Struthio camelus: one gene and its partner. The main gene of each other region encodes a partner of the protein of the gene in region 2 in a complex. Links are inferred from orthologs where the notes say so. Each region holds a gene or a part of one and is shown on either strand. Other genes may lie near its edges.

Region 1 (7,393 bases), about 1.5 Mb from region 2:
CACCGGGTATTGCAAGCGGGATGCTGCCGGGGCCGGTGCGACCGCGACAGGTCCCGCCGCCCATCGGCTGGCTTTAACGGCGGGTTTAGCGAGGCGCCGCCGGGGAGCGGCGGCAGGAGGGACGGGGCTGACGGGTGCAAACAGGGCGCGCGGGCACCGCTTTCCTCCCGTTGGCAAGGCGGCAGCCGAGCGGCCGGCTGCGGCCCCGGAGCAAAGCTCGTCCCGCCGGGGTCGGGGGCACGGGAAAAGGCAAGGGCGCGCGCACGGGGCTGCGCTCGGGAGCAGAGGCGCCCGCGCTTCAAGGTCGGCAGCCGTGCGAGACTGAAGTTGTCTCATTTGCATCGCACATGTCCGTGCCATCAACCTGCTATTTGAATAGCAAAAAGCGACGGCGATCAGGCCCAGCCGGGCTGCGTCTCTGCCCTCTGCGGCCCTTTTCCCCCTCGATTAGAGCCCCGCAAAAGCCTCTCCCGGGGACGAGAGCACGAAGCCGCCTCCTTCGGCGTCCCACGAGCCGTGCCGCATCCTTCCCGGCTGCTTTGCCTACGGAGCAAGACTGGGGGAGGTTAAAATGAAATCCTGGGGGGGGGGGGAGAAGAAAACACCCCAAAACGGTTTAGTTACCCTCCCCTCCTCCCACTGCCATCCTGCCTCCCTCTCTCCCTCCTCCTCTCCGAAGCGAGCGTTCAATCTTTTTCGTCTCGGCAAATAGCTTTTAAGTTCCTCCCGCTCCCTTTAATTTATACTGTTTTAATTATTGAATAGCCCTCTCGCCCGTCGCCTGGAACATTAACGTGTTTTTTTTGTTTTTTTGTTTTTTTTTTTTAAAAGGGATCCAGAAAAATCCAGCTCCACCTGCGATCTGCCTCGCCGCCTGCGCTAACAGCTCCCAGCGCTGCCAGGAGAGCGCGCGGCGCTTGCAGCCCGCCGGGCAGCAGGCAGGAAGAGGAGGGGGGCAAAAGAGAAGAAGGCAAAAGGCAGCCGGTCGGGGACAAAAGATGGTTTCCAAGACGCTGGGAGGGGAAAGCAACTCCTAGACACGGAGCTGGGCTCTGCGGGCAAAGCAGGGCGCTTGCAGCCCGCAGCGGCGGCGGCGGGGGGGGGTCTCGTTCAAACGCTCCCTCCAGCCCGGCGACGTTGCTTCCGATAAATAAACGGCGAAGGGAGCAAGCGGCGGCCGAAGGGCTGCTCGCACGGGGCAGCTCGAGGGCGGGAGAGCGAGGGGACGCGCCGCGTGCAAGCAGGTTGGGCGAGAGCGTTAGTCGAGGCCGCGCCGGAGACCTTGCGCCCCGAACCGCTGTTCGGACCCTACAACAGGGGCTTCGATCTCAAGACCCAACGGGACGAAGCCCCGAGCCACCGGGTCTGACCCCGGAGCCGGCGCGGGACCGGAGCCCTCCCGAGGCCCCTCGCAGCCAGTCCCCACTCCGTACCCCCGTCGACCAACCTCCCCGGCACCCCGCCTTGCCACGAAAAGACAAGTCCTCGAGCAAAGAGCGTCGTCACCGCAGGGGGACGGAGCAGGGCATCGCCGGGGCGCCGGGAGACGGGTTTTGGAGACGCTCGTGCTCGCCTGCCCCCCGCCGCGGAGGACGAGGCCAGCACGCGCAGACGCCCCGAAAGCGCTTGCAGACGTTGGCGGTTATTTTTTGCAAGCGCGGAGGTGGCAGCGGAGGGGGGGGGGGGTGGTGCCGGGGGACGCCGTACCTTGAAGAGCCGCAGGATGTTGGCCACCATGATGGAGACGGAGCTGCCCGAGGCGCCGATGACGCCGACCACGCGCTCCGGCTTGGTGATGATGGGCGGCCCGCCGTTGACGCAGCGCACCTCGGTGCTGTCCTTCTCGATGAGCGCCTGCACGAAGGTCAGCGACTGCTCCAGGGCGTGCGTGTCGCGGGAGCACGTGTCCAGGATGCGGGCGCCCAGCGTGATGTTGGGCAGCAGCTCGGGGTCGTTGTTGATGCGGTCCAAGGCGAAGAGCATGGCCTCCAGGCGGTGGATGCCCTTCTCTTTCTTCAGCTCCCCGCACGCCTTGCCCTCCGAGCCACGGCCGTGCACGGGGAAGAGCCCCCCGAGCGTGATGTCCCCGTCGATGCGGATGGAGTTCATGTGCGGGTAGCCCTGGCCCTTGGGCTTGGCGGCGCCCACGGGCGCCCAGCCCCAGCTCCAGGCGCTCAGCAGGAGGCAGAACGACAGACGCCCCATGCGAAAAGAACCCCCCCGCTGCCCGCTCATCGCCGAAGCCGTGCGGGGACGGAGAGCGCAGCCCGAAACCCTGCGGCCAGGCGGCGACGCCGGCCCCGCATGGGAGACGCGCCGCGGCGGGGAGCGCCTGCCCGGACAGCCGGATCGGGGCGGCCCGTCGGGGAGCTTCGCATCACCAGGCAGAGCGGCGGCCAGGCGAGCCCCGACGGCAAGCTTCGGCTCCTTCCTCCGCAGCCCTGGAAAGGGAGAGGGTGGAAAACAGCGGGGGGAGAGAAAGGGGAGGGGGGGGGGACACAAAAAAAAAAAAATCAAGCCGGAGCACGAGGAGGACATCAGTGATCCAGACCTTCCTGCAGGGAGCCCGGCAGAAATCAGCGCTGCGGGTTACGGCGAAAAGATTTGGGATGCGCTTGATTTCTGCTTCGCGCCCGCTGCTTTGACTCAGCCGAAACACGTTATCCGGGCAGCTCGCTGACCGGGCGGCAGAGCCCCGGCCGGCCCGGCACCCTCACAAAAGCGACGAGCCCGGCAGGTCTCAGCGCCGGCGGCGAGCGCGCAGCCGCTCAGAGCCTGCCCCGGCCCCATTCGCCTCGCTCCTCGGCCCGCGAGCCCGGTCGGCCGAGCGGCGTCCGTGCCCGCCGCCGGGACGCCCCGCCGCCCCTGCCTCGGTTTCCCCTTTGGGAAGGGCTCGCCGAGGACAGCGCGGGAGGGACGCGAGGCCACAGCCGCCCGCGGAGGAGAGCTCCCCGGCCGCCAGGGCCCTTGCCTCAACTCACCTCCATAAATTATGCACCTCCCTGCCTGCCGGAGCCGCTTGAAGGCCGATCTCCAAAGCGTTTCTGACAGCCGGGGCTTTTAAGCGATCCGAATTAGTCAGCGGCGAATGCTTTCCGCTCCGGGAAGGGGGGGAGCCTGCGAGCACCGCCGCCGCGCACGACCCGCTTCGCCCCAGCGCCCGCCGCGCAGCGGCCGAGCTCCCGCCGGCGCCCCCGGGAGCGGGCACGGGCATCCGAAGCCGCCCGGCGAGCCGAGCCCTGCAGAGCCGCCGCGTTCGGCCCCACCGCGGAAACCACGGCGGGGGGCTTTGCAAGCGGCGGCTCCCAAACCGCCCCGGCTGCAAGGGCGGGATCGGGAAAGGCTCTGCCCGTGGCAGCTCCGGGCCGGCTTCAATCAGGTCGTTCCCCCTCTCCCCATCCTCCTGCGAGGACCTGGATCGTTTCTGCCCGTCGGAGGAAGGGTCTGCAAGCGGCATCCGCTACAAGGAAAATCCTCCGCGCCCCGAGAGCGCGGCGGCTCTCGCGGAGCTGCCGGCATCCCACGAGTCCGCGGCCTCTTTTCCTTCCTTCTTCTAAGCTTTTTCCTTTCTGCTCTCTCGCCTTTGTGCCGCCTTTGATCGTATAATCTGAAGGAGCCGAAGGTAAAAATATCACGGCAGGCCAGGAGAAAGCGTCAGTACCGGCGAGAGGAGGGTTCGAGCCCCCCGCTGAACCGCGAGGGGAGACGCAGCCGGAATTATCCCGCGCTCCGGGGCCGCAGGCGGCCCGAGGGCTCGCGGGAAAGGAGCGGGGGACGAGCGCCCTGGCCCCCCTCTGCCCACGCCGGCCTCACAGCTCAAGGGCAATAACCGCGGCTGCCCCAAGGGAGGCAAATTCATCCTTCCTCCGAGGGCTGGGAGACGTCTCCGCGTCCCCGGGGCGGCCCCGGACCTCCCCGGCCCCCTGTCCCCGCACCTGCCGGGAGACGCCCCCGGCGGAGGGGACGTCCCTCGTCCCGTCCCCGTGCTGCCCCAGGACGGCGTCTCGGCGCTAAGGGGCGCGAGATGCCGCGGACACACGGGCAGCTCCAGCGCCCAGGACGCGCTCTCGGCAGGGCTCGAGCAAACCCGGGCAGCTGCCGCCGCGACGCCGGCGAGGGAGCCCCATCCCCTCCTGCTCGCGCGCCGCACCATTTTCTTCTTCTTTTTTTTCTTTTTTTTTTTTCTTTTTTTTTTTTTTGCAGAATTTGGCGGCGCTGCCGCGGCCCCAGGACCGAACCGCGCGGCGGGAGCCCGCGCTGGCATCGCGCGCTGCCCCGCCGGCTGCGACCCCGAGCTGGGCGCACGGCAAACGCCCCGGGGCTGGTGGAAACTGGAGGGCTCTCGGCTCCGCTGCAGCTCCCCAGGAGCAGAGCCGGCTCAGCCGACGCGAGGGCGTCGCAGGGGTGAAGACGCTCCGTCAGGGGGGCTAAAAAAATAAACAAGCAAACAAGCAAGCAGCCCATTTCTCTCCAGTCCCTGCAGGACTCCAAGTCAAAACCAAGTTATTTTGCCCCCCCCCAGCGTCCCCCGCGCCCCCAGCCCAGGCGCCGGCTAAGCGTCGGGCACGAAGGCTTCACGGCCGCCGCCGCGGAGCGGACGAAGCCGAAAGCGCCCGCGCGAGCCCCCGCCCCGTCTCGTCTCGCTGCCCCTTTTCCGCGCTTTCCAGCGGGGCCGGGCAGCGGAGGCCGGCAGCGAGCGCTGCGGCGGGGAGCAACCCGCCGCCTTCGCCTCCGCGCGTCCCCCCCACCGCCTGCCGCGGCGCTCGGGGCCGGGCCCGCGTCCAGCCGCGCCACGAATTCGCGTCGCTGGCGATTTCGAGACTTATTTAGCCAGGCATCCCCCTAGCCCTGCTCCGAGCTGCGCAGGGGGCCCAGGAGTCCTGCCGGACCCCCTGCCCCAACCCTCGCACCGACAGCCCACGTCCCGCAGGGGAGACCGAAACCCCGGCACGGGGAGGGCTGCTGCCCGCTTCTGCCGCGAGTTCGCCGGTGTCTTTTTGACAATCAAGGCCGTTTCTTTCCCCACCTGCGAATCCTTCGGCAAGCAGGGACAGCCGCAGCGCAGCACAATATCCCAATTAGCCTACGCTAGTTTTTTCCCCCTCGCTTGTGAGCTATTGCAGGGAACCTGCTTTGGCTCCCGTTTTTTTCTTTAATTGCAAAAGACAAGGCGAGGGGAGGCCAGGGTAAGTTATCTCTTGACAGGCACAAACTTGAGCGTTCAGGTCAAGCACCTGGGCTTTCGCCTGCCTAGGAGCAAAGCGAGGCCGAGGCGGAGCAGGCACTGGAAAGCAGGGACCCCCGATTTTAACAGGAAAATACACCCGATACCTTAACGAAGGTGCACGCGCCGGGCCGCAATCGCCAGAGCCAGGCGCGAGTCGCTAACCGCAACGGGTGCAGGATCCCAACCCAAACACCAGCGAGCCGCGCGCTGCCTCTCCGGGACGCGGTCCCGCTAACGCCGGGGTCTTCTGCCGCCCTCGGTGCCCCGGGGCTGCCCGCGACCTCCCCGTTCACCACCAGCTACGCTCAGCCCAAATCAGCGTGCCAGAAAAGCCAGCTTCGCGCCAGGTGCTGCCACCGTCCTCCCTGCCCCAGAGCCCGACCCGGAGGCTCCCAAAATCCATTGATAAAAGCTCCACCTGGGTTGCAGATCAGACTCAGGGAATATTTATCATTTTATATATATATATATATCCTTAACTGCAGGCAAGTTCTCTGCCTCCCGCTCTCCTGGCCCGTGCACAGCAGGCCAGCGCTAACCCCTCGCCGGCACGCGGCCGGGGCAGGGCGAGGAGGAGGCAGCAGCACAGCTCACGCCGGCAAACAGCTCCAGCCAGGGCGCCGCGGGAGAGAGGAGGGAGGGAAGGAAGGAGCCAGCCCCCGTCCCCGATCACACCACAGAAATCCCACGATTAATTTTTGATCACCTGCAAATCGGGAACGGGGACAGCACCGGCTTAGGAAGCGAGCGGGGCTTAACCACCGTCCCCACCGGGCACGGGAAATCGGTCCACCCCAGGGGGGACGAAACCCCACCACAAGGCGCGAAGCCCAAGAGGGAGGGACGGTGCCCGCGGCGGGCACGAGGTCGGGGGGTGCGTTAGCGCACGTTATAATTAGGACCTGCCATGTCTTCAGGCTGTTCCCTTTCGGGGAAGAGCTGGAAGGGGGTGGCTGAGCTGACAAATCCATCCCCCTCCTGCCTGATGCCAAAGCTGAGGCACGTGACACCCTTTTTCGGGTAGCCGGCAGCAAAGCTGCGCCCCGCTTCGGGGCTGCGCCGGGAACGGGACGTGGCTGCCGTTCGGTTTTGGGTGTAAAACCTCCCCGAAATCCCCACTCAGTGTCTCCCATGCCGGCGCACCCGGAGCCCTGCATTGCCGGGGGGCTCCGCGGGGGACGGACAGAGCCGCCAAGCCCATGCCCAGACGGCCACCCCGGGGTGCCCACGGCAGGAGCTGAGCCCAAACACCCTTTTAGGGGGAGCGCAGCAGGCTACAGACCGTAGCATCCAACTGAACCAAAGCTTTCCTCCCCCGGGGCCTGCTTCCAGCCAGGGGCCCCCAAAATCAGCTTGCCCATCCCAGCCCGGGAGCCCGCAGCTCCAGCCCGCTGCTCCCAGCGCAGCTCCGTGCCACCTTCTTCAGCTGCTCGTCTGCACGGGAGACCCCCGGCCCGACCCCAGCTCTGCCCCGCGGCAGCCCTCGGGGCTGGCCTTCCCCTCCCCAGAGCCGCGCGCAGCCCCGGCGAGGCAGCCGGGATTTCGGCACAGCCCGCCCCGGAGAGACAAGATCACAGCTCCCGGCGCAGAGGCGGCAGCCTGCGGGGAGGTTTCGGCCCCCGGCTGTCCCCTCCGGCCCTCCGAAGCTGTGCCCAGCGCGCTCCCGCCGCACCCCCCGCCTGCTGCGCTGGTGCAGAAAAGCCTTGTTTACGTGAAGGGAAAGAAGGAAAGGAAATGAGCTTTTTCTTTTGGCACTTCTCTTGGCATCTTCCCGAGCTCCTCGCCGCGTTCAACAGATCGGCTCCATTCCCTTCCTCTCCAGGCCGTGCCTCGGCGAGCGGCCAGCATCCGCGATCTCCTCTAGCGCTTGCCTCACACCTGCCTTCTGCCGTTCCCCCTTCAAACCCGGAGCCACAGGTCACCAGCAGCGGCGATGACTCATTCCCGGCCTCTAAACCGCAGCCACGGTTGAAAGCAGAGCTTGCTCCCCCCCCCCCCCCCCGACCGAAGCAGCCCACAGAAAAATAACCCGGCCAGCAGAGCACGGCAAACTCATCACACCGGGCGCGAAGCAGGAGGAGGAGCGCAGTGGTGCACGGCCAGGCTGAGTCTGGGGAGGCGGTGGGAGAGTTCTCCGATTTTTTCCCACGGCAGCCGAGGTCCCCA
Region 2 (7,340 bases):
GGACCCATGTTCCTACTGCAAATATTTTCTCCTAGCAATTAACTATCTTGCTTCACCCGCACATTAACAAGCTGCATATGAGGAGAGTACATTTTGGCACAATCCGGTATTCCCTCTAATCACTAGCAATTGTTACGCTAATTTTTAACACTAGAAAACCTTGACATTTTAAGTTATTGCAGGTTATGGCCAAGTGCAAACCTGATACGAGCGCACTATTTTTTAAATGAGGCTAGAGACAGATCAGAGAGAGAAGTGATCCAAAATACAGCTGCTACTTGTACTTTTGAAAGTCTCACCTTGTGTCTACATTAATATGCTTTGAAACCGATTATTGCATAATCTTTTGGGTACTCCTTCAACTCTGTCATTTGCTGAAGAGGAGGTCATGCAGTTTAGCTCCAAAATGCTTTTCAATACGGCCACAAAGAACATCAAGCCGCACCTCTTACAAGGATACAAGTAAAAACAAGTTTTAAAAAAGGATTCTTGAGATTCAGATCATTTGGAAAGCAGACTTGTTAGCCAACGTGTCCCAGTCTAACAGGAGAACTAAATGTCATTGTTCTAGTCTTCATGAACTCAATCTGTCTCCATCTGAAATGGAGAATGTCAAAGTAACAAAAAAACATATGGACATTAGAAGACGACGACCTACATGACATGACCAGATGGGTCCACCTACAACCCTAAATTTGCACTGCTTATTCCTTAGCTCATTTGAAGTTGCAAAGAAATGGAACAGGAGTCTGCCTATATCTAGCAGGCTTCATCAGAGAAGGGCATCTTTTCCTTCTCTGTACCCTACTTATCACTCAACAAGGGCTTCTAAACATGGTTACTAGAACATAGACCAAATATGGCAAGTTATTTGCAATCCTTAAATATTTATCCACTCAGGGAAGTATAATAAGAAGATAGTTCTCCACTAAACATTTTATTCCATTTAGATCCTCTCAAAGATTCATGAATGCCTTTTAGCTGGAAAAAATAAAAGTGCACAGAATTGACACTTCCTTTCTCAGCTGCTCCGTTTTCTGTACATATAGAGATTGCACTGAGGTAGCAGCAACAACAACACTTTTGCTTTTTTGCGCTCCTGCAAGCTCTGCAGAACAAGTTCAGCTATGGAAGAGTAAGGTGGATTCACATCTCATCTTTTGCGCAAAGTCAGATCCTATCACAGGATCTTTACTGTGGTAGCATGAGGCACAAAAAACGTAGCATGATTAGCAAAGACAGCTTACACAGAGCGGGCATTTCTGATCTGAGAAACAGGCGTCCAAAGAGCCATTTTCAGGGTAAAAGCTAACTACCAGATAAAAGGATTTAATTCCATTACCCTATCTGAAGCAAAAAGCTGAACGAGCATGCCTGCATGACTACAGACTGTATATTGTCAGTATTCAGCCACAAGCAAGAGGTTTTACAGTGATCTTTGTCACGCAAGCACAGGATACCCAAAGATGAAGGAACAACGAGACAGCGGAGCTAACGCTTTCTGCTCCCAGAGCCCAAGACCAAAGCCACCAGAGACAGACATCACCCAGAAGCAACCAGGAAGGAAGACTGGTAAGGTTCAGACCCACACTACAGACAGAAGTGTTACTTCATCAGGCAGAGTCTGGCTAGTAAAAAGCCCCACCCTGGGACAGCGTGCTAGAGAGCAGCGTGCTCCTGCCGTGGGTGAGAGTGGGACAGGCCATCTCCTCCCTCCTCAGAGCTGGGTGGCAATCCTAAGGGAGCGGGGCAGGCTATGGTCTTCCAGCAGCCCCACCAAGCAGGTAACAACCCCGGGAAAGGGATGGAGGACCAGGGTGGAGCGAGGGGTCAGGCCCATGCCCGAGGCTGGCAACCACACTAAGCGCCAAACCCTCCCCAGTGTCACAAAGGCAGAGCTGTCCCTCAAAACGGCCTTTTCCCAGACTCACCTCAGAGCCCTTCCCACAACTCCCTTAGCTTTCCTACAGGAACCCTACCTCATCCCAGCCTCTCCCCCTTTCAAACCCCTGAACTTCTTTGTCTTGCTAACACTTTCACCCCTCTTCCCTCAACATCCCTCTGGGTAATCCCTCACACATACACACCCCAACAGCTTCCTCGATCCCTGCTCACCCCACAGTCACCTCACCATCCCTCCAGACACCCCTCTCCCCACCACTCACCCTCTAGAGACCTTTTAGCCTCCCCCAAACCCCTTCTCAATCCCTTCCAGATAGTCCTGCCCTCACCACCTGGCTCCTCCCCTCAAAGACCCCCTAAAACCCTCTGGAGCCCTTGGAAAGCCCCAAATCCCCTTCCCAGGGACTCCTTCACCCTCTCCAAGCCCCGGAGTCCTCTCCCAAAGCCCTCAGCCGTCCCAACGCTTCTCCAGGCCTTCCCTCGAGCTCCCTTAGCCTTCTCAACCCCCTCCCGGACTCTGGAGGTCTCCCTCAAGCCTCCTCTCCTGAGACTCCTTAGCCCCTCAAGCCCCTTCCGAGCCCCCAGTCCCCCTCAAAACGCTCCCTAAAGCTCCCTTAAGCCCCCCCTTTAGAGGCTCCTTGGAACACCTCCCCCCCCCGGCACTACAGAGTCCCCCAAGCCCCCCCCGGAGCCCCTCAGTCCGTCTCAAGACCCCCCCCCAGCCCTCTCCCCTCCCCAGAGCCCCTTTACCCCCGCCCGGCCCCTCCTCACCGAGCAGCAGCAGCTTCACCTCCTTGGCCGCCTTCTCGCCGTCCTCCCGCAGGTTGCGGTCGATCATCTTGCTCCGCTCCACCGCCGCCTTGTCCTCGGCGCTCAGCGTGCAGCCCATGGCGGCGGAGGGCGGCCCGCCGCCGGGGAGCCGGAGCGGGGCAGACGGAGCCGAGCCGAGCCGGTGCGGGGCTGCGCCTTCTCGCTTCCCCTCAGCGCGGGCGGCTCCGTGAGGCGGCGCCGGATATCCGCCCCGCCGCGACCGTTACCCGCCCGCCAACCGCCCCGGGGCGGCGCCGCGCGGGCGCGGGCGCCCGCCGCGGGGCACGCCGGGAAATGCAGTCCGCCGCCGCGCGGGGCGCGGGGCACGCTGGGACTGGTAGTCCACGCGCTGCATGCGGGGAGTTGGAGGCTGCCCCGCCTCACTTCCGCCTCGGTGGAGCGGGGCGTGATGGGAGCCGGGGGAGGGTGGGCGCCTCACTTCCGCCTCGGTGGAGCGGGGCGTGATGGGAGCCGGGGGAGGGTGGGCGCCTCACTTCCGCCTCGGTGGAGCGGGGCGTGACGGGAGTTGTAGTCCTGAGGGAGGCCCTGCGGGAGGGGAGGGGGTTCTCTGCACGGCCCCATAGCTGCGCCAGCCCCACAGCTGCCCCGGCCCTGCCCAGGCCCAGCCCCACGGCCCGTGGCAGCCCCCTGCCCGGGGTGTTTCCCTCGCTCCCCCCCAGCTGCCCCACGCTCGAGGGCACCCGCCACCACGGGGGGCTGCTCCTGCCTCGACCCGGCCCAGCCCCACGGGGCGCTGGGGGGCAAGCGAGCCCGGGAGGCCCCAAGGGCGGACGCGGGGACCGAAAGCGAGGGGCGGCCCCCGGAGATCAGCCGGGGGACGGGCACCCACCACGGGGGCAGCTGGCCCCAGGGCAGGAGGGGAGCCCGGCCCGGGGGCACCCGGGAGGCGGCGGACGCCCCGTCCCCTGGCTGCGCCCGCCCGGGCAGGGTGCCGGGGCCGGACGGGGCCAGCAGGACTTTTGGGGGACCCCCTCCCGCCGACCCTGCTGAGACGCTCCCGGTCAGGACCGCCTGACCCCCTAAAACCGAGGCCCCGCCACGCTCCAAAACAGCTCCTCCCTGCTTTGTGACCCCGAAGCTGCCTCCCCGGTGGGGACCCGAGTGGGGGGGGGGGGGTGACACGTCCCGGCTCCGGCCCCCACGGCTGGGGAGCAAAGCACAACCCCGGCGAGGAGGGTGCGGGCGGCGGGGACAGCCCCGGCAGGTCCCCAGCCCCGCGGCGGCCGCGTCCCCAGGCGCCCCAGCCAGGCACGCACACCAGCTTTCCTCTTGCAGCCGTGTTTGACCCCCCCGGGGACGCTACAGCTCCCGTTTGGGAGAGGTGGCCGCCGGCACGTAGCCATCGCCGCCGCCGCCGCCGCCGCCCCGGCGCTGCTCCGGGAGCTCGGCCGCCTCCTCGGCGATCTGCCCCGGGATGCGGAAGTCGACGGGGGGTTGGTCCCGCTTGGGGCTGGGGGTGGCGGGCCGGGGCCGGGGCTCGGCGGGGCAGCCCGTGCCCTGGAGGAACTGCAGGAAGTTCTCCTCGATGGAGCCCTCGCGGCTGGGCAGCCGCAGGTCGTCCTCCGGCGGCTGCTTGAAGAAGCAGGTGAGGAGCCGGCCGAGCTCGCCCCGGATCTGCCGGTTGAGGCACCCGTAGAAGAAAGGGTTGGAGGTAAAGCAGAAGTAGCCGAGCCAAGTGACCACGGTCTCGGCCTGCCGCCCCGCCGGCGGCTGGGGGCTCAGGGCCGTGTAGAGGTGGAAGGAGAAGTAGGGCAGCCAGCAGAAGAGGAACTGGCCCCCCACGGCCAGCAGGATGGCGGCCGCCTTGCCGCCGCCGAACGTCCTCTGCGGCGTGGTGCGCGGCGCCCCTGAGCTGGTCACCATGGTGGAGCGGCTGCTGAGCGACTCCGAGCGCCGCCGCGGCGTCTCCATCCAGGTGGGCAGGGGGCCGTGGTGCATGGCGGCCACCCGCGCCACCTTGAACATGCTGCAGTAGACCACGACGATGATGAGGAGGGGCAGGAGGAAGTAGAAGGCGGCGAAGAAGACCACGAAGAACTTGCAGTAAGGCCCGCGGCTCCACTGCAGCGAGCACCCGCGGCCGGCGGGGGCCGGCGGCCGGTCCGGCGAGAGCCAGCCCAGCACGGGGACCAGGGAGGTGGCCACCGCCTTGAGCCAGACGCCCACCAGCACGCAGGCCACCAGCCCCACCGTCATCTTCACCTCGTAGCGCATGGGGTGCACCACGTAGTAGTAGCGCTCCACGTTGATGGTGGAGATGGAGAGGATGCACATGCTGATGAAGCAGACGCTGAGGAACAGGTAGACGCGGCACATGGCCTCGCCAAAAACGGGGCTGTCGAAGACGGCCGAGCCGGAGAGCATCTCCAGGGGCATGAGGGTGAGGGCGGCCAGGAAGTCCACCAGGCAGAGGTGGAAGACGAAGACGAACTTGCGCAGCGCCGGCGTCTTCACGATGACGGTCATGACGGCCGCGTTGCCCACGATGGCCGTCAGGTCGATGAGCAGCATGAAGAAGAGCCCCACCGACTTGGAAGCCACGTCCTTGGGCTTGGCGTCGGCCGTGCCGTTGGCGGGCATGGGGCCCGGCGAGGGCTGGAGCGGCCGCGCCGGCCTAGAGCCGTTCCAGGCCCACGGCGCAGGCAGGGAGGGCTCCATGGTGTCCCGCGGTGGCGCCGGCCCTCACCGGCCCATCGCCCATCCTACGGGCCCCCCGCGAGGGGCCGCAGAGCGTCGCCCCCGGCGCTCACATCCTCGCCGGCCGGACCCCGGCCCAGCCCTACGCCGGCCGGCGGCCCCGGGTGCTGCTGGCCATCGCCCGGCCCCGCTCCGCCGGGCGCGGGACGGGTGCTGCGGAGGCGGCGGCGCTCAGCGCACCCAAGGGTTCCCCCCGGGCGGGCTCATCTCCCGGCTGCTCTGCGCCGGGCAGAGCGGAGCACCTGCGGGGGAAGGCAGAGAGGCGGCCGGATCAGAGGCCCCCGCGCGTCGGCGTCTCGGCTCAGCCCCCGACGGCGGCCGCTGGCGCCCCGGGGCGTGCCTGGGTCCCCCCCGGCGGGGAGAGCCGCCGGGCCCCACGCGGGGCTGCCCTGGGCTGAGAAAACTCCTTTCTCAACAAAATGTCTCATTTCCTTAGGAAACGAGCAACCCCGGGGCTTAAAACCCCAAACTCCGATGTTTCAGCCCAAAACAGCCTCACCTGACACCTGGAGCCCGGGGACTGCCGATGGCGCGGCTGGGACCAGCCTGGGACAGCGCGGTCCCAGTCCCTCCCTGGGCCCGGACGCCTGGGCTCACCCCTTATCCCCCCACCCCGAACACGTCCCGGGATGGGTGCCGTGCACCCCTCACCCCAAATCCCTGGGGGGGGGGGTGGCAGCCAGCGCGGCGGGGTGCCCGGCGATGGGGGGGGTGGGCACCCGCTGCAATGGGGGTGTCACCCTCCCTTCCCCACCCAAGGGTGCTACCCCAGCGCGGGGCCGGGGTGTGGGGGCAGCACGGGGAGCCCCCGGGGCCCTGCCCCGTTTTGGCAGGCCGCGGCCGGTCCCGCCGATACCCGGTGGCCCCCGGGCACCGGCATCCCCCCGGGGGCGGCCGGGGCAGGCTCGTCGGGGTGGGTGGGGGGGCACCGGGCACCCTCCCACCCTCTCCCCCGAGCCCCTATGCACCATTCCCCCTGCATCCCCCCCCCCTCCCGGTGCCGGGGCTGCGGCCTTCCTCCCTCCTCCCTCCCCCCCCCCACCGCAGCAGGCCCGGGGCGACGGTGAGGGGCGAGCGGGCGGCCCCGCGCCGCTTCCGCCCCGGGGGGCGCCCCGTCGCCCGCCGCAGCCCCCGCCGGTAGCGGCGGCGGGGCGGGCACCTACCCTGGGGGGGGGGCTCCATGGGGGTCGGCGGGCCCCGGCGGCCGGCTCGGCGCCCCGGTGCCGGGCGGGGATGCTCGGGGCTGGGCCGGGGCCGGGGCCCGCAGCCGCCGCAGCCGGCGATGAGCGGAGCCGGCAGCTCCCGCACCAGCCGCGCTGCTGGGTCCTAAACGCCTCCCGCCGGCGGCCCGGCCCGGCCCCGGGGGGCAAAGCGCGGCCCCGGGCCGGGCCGGCGTGCTGGGGGGGGGGGGCGGAGCGGGGGTCGGCGCCCGGGGCCGCCCCACCACCCCGCCGCTGGCCCCGTCCGCAGAGACGGAGCCCGGCACGTCACCGACCCCCCGCTTTGCCCCCGGGACGCCCCTCGCAAACCGCCTCGGCCCTCGTGTCGGGCCTCAGTTTCCCCAGCCCGCGCCCCGGCTGGCAGCGAGCTGCCTGGGGGCTGCGGCGGGTGTTGAGGCCCCCCCGAGCGGGTGCTGGGACCCGGGGAACCGGCAGAGGGAACGTGCCCGGGCAGCGCAAGGGGGCCGGGGCGAGGGGAGGGTGACGGGCGAGGGGAGCGCCCAGCCGGCGGCGGGGAGCGGGGGCAGCGCGGCCCGCGCGGGGCGCGGAGCCGGCCGCAGGGGGCTGCCCGAGGCGAACGGGGCCGGGAGGGCTGTGCCTGGCGGGTGGCGGGGGCACCCAGCTCTGCCCGGACCCAGCCCAGCGTCCCTTCCCTCTCCCCCCAGTGCACCAACGGAGCAACGGGGACCA

What was found. Proteins that work in one complex are often made in the same cells at the same time.
Region 1: the proteins of GNAI3 (region 2) and GRM4 are in contact, whole or in part, in a cryo-EM structure (PDB 8JD6), measured with the Homo sapiens proteins. The link is inferred for Struthio camelus from reciprocal best matches to the Homo sapiens genes GNAI3 and GRM4. Residues at the interface, in NP_006487.1 of Homo sapiens: Ala31, Lys32, Val34, Lys192, Asp193, Leu194, Thr219, Phe336, Thr340, Ile343, Ile344, Asn347, Leu348, Cys351, Gly352, Leu353, Tyr354; in NP_000832.1 of Homo sapiens: Pro616, Lys619, Ala620, Gly622, Arg623, Glu624, Arg676, Ile677, Ile680, Phe681, Gln683, Gly684, Lys685, Arg686, Ser687, Val688, Ser689, Ala690, Ile694, Ser695, Pro696, Phe781.

What each region holds. Positions count from the first base shown.
Region 1 is NC_090965.1:5,638,754-5,646,146, reverse strand, and holds the start of GRM4 (metabotropic glutamate receptor 4), read right to left. Parts: upstream 3,052-7,393; 5' UTR 2,982-3,051; intron 2,442-2,981; 5' UTR 2,236-2,441; coding exon 1,708-2,235; intron 1-1,707.
Region 2 is NC_090965.1:4,179,432-4,186,771, reverse strand, and holds the start of GNAI3 (guanine nucleotide-binding protein G(i) subunit alpha-3), read right to left. Parts: upstream 3,024-7,340; 5' UTR 2,792-3,023; coding exon 2,674-2,791; intron 1-2,673. Other genes in the region: GPR61 (G-protein coupled receptor 61), read right to left, coding at 4,033-5,391. UniProt on the Homo sapiens protein: Heterotrimeric guanine nucleotide-binding proteins (G proteins) function as transducers downstream of G protein-coupled receptors (GPCRs) in numerous signaling cascades.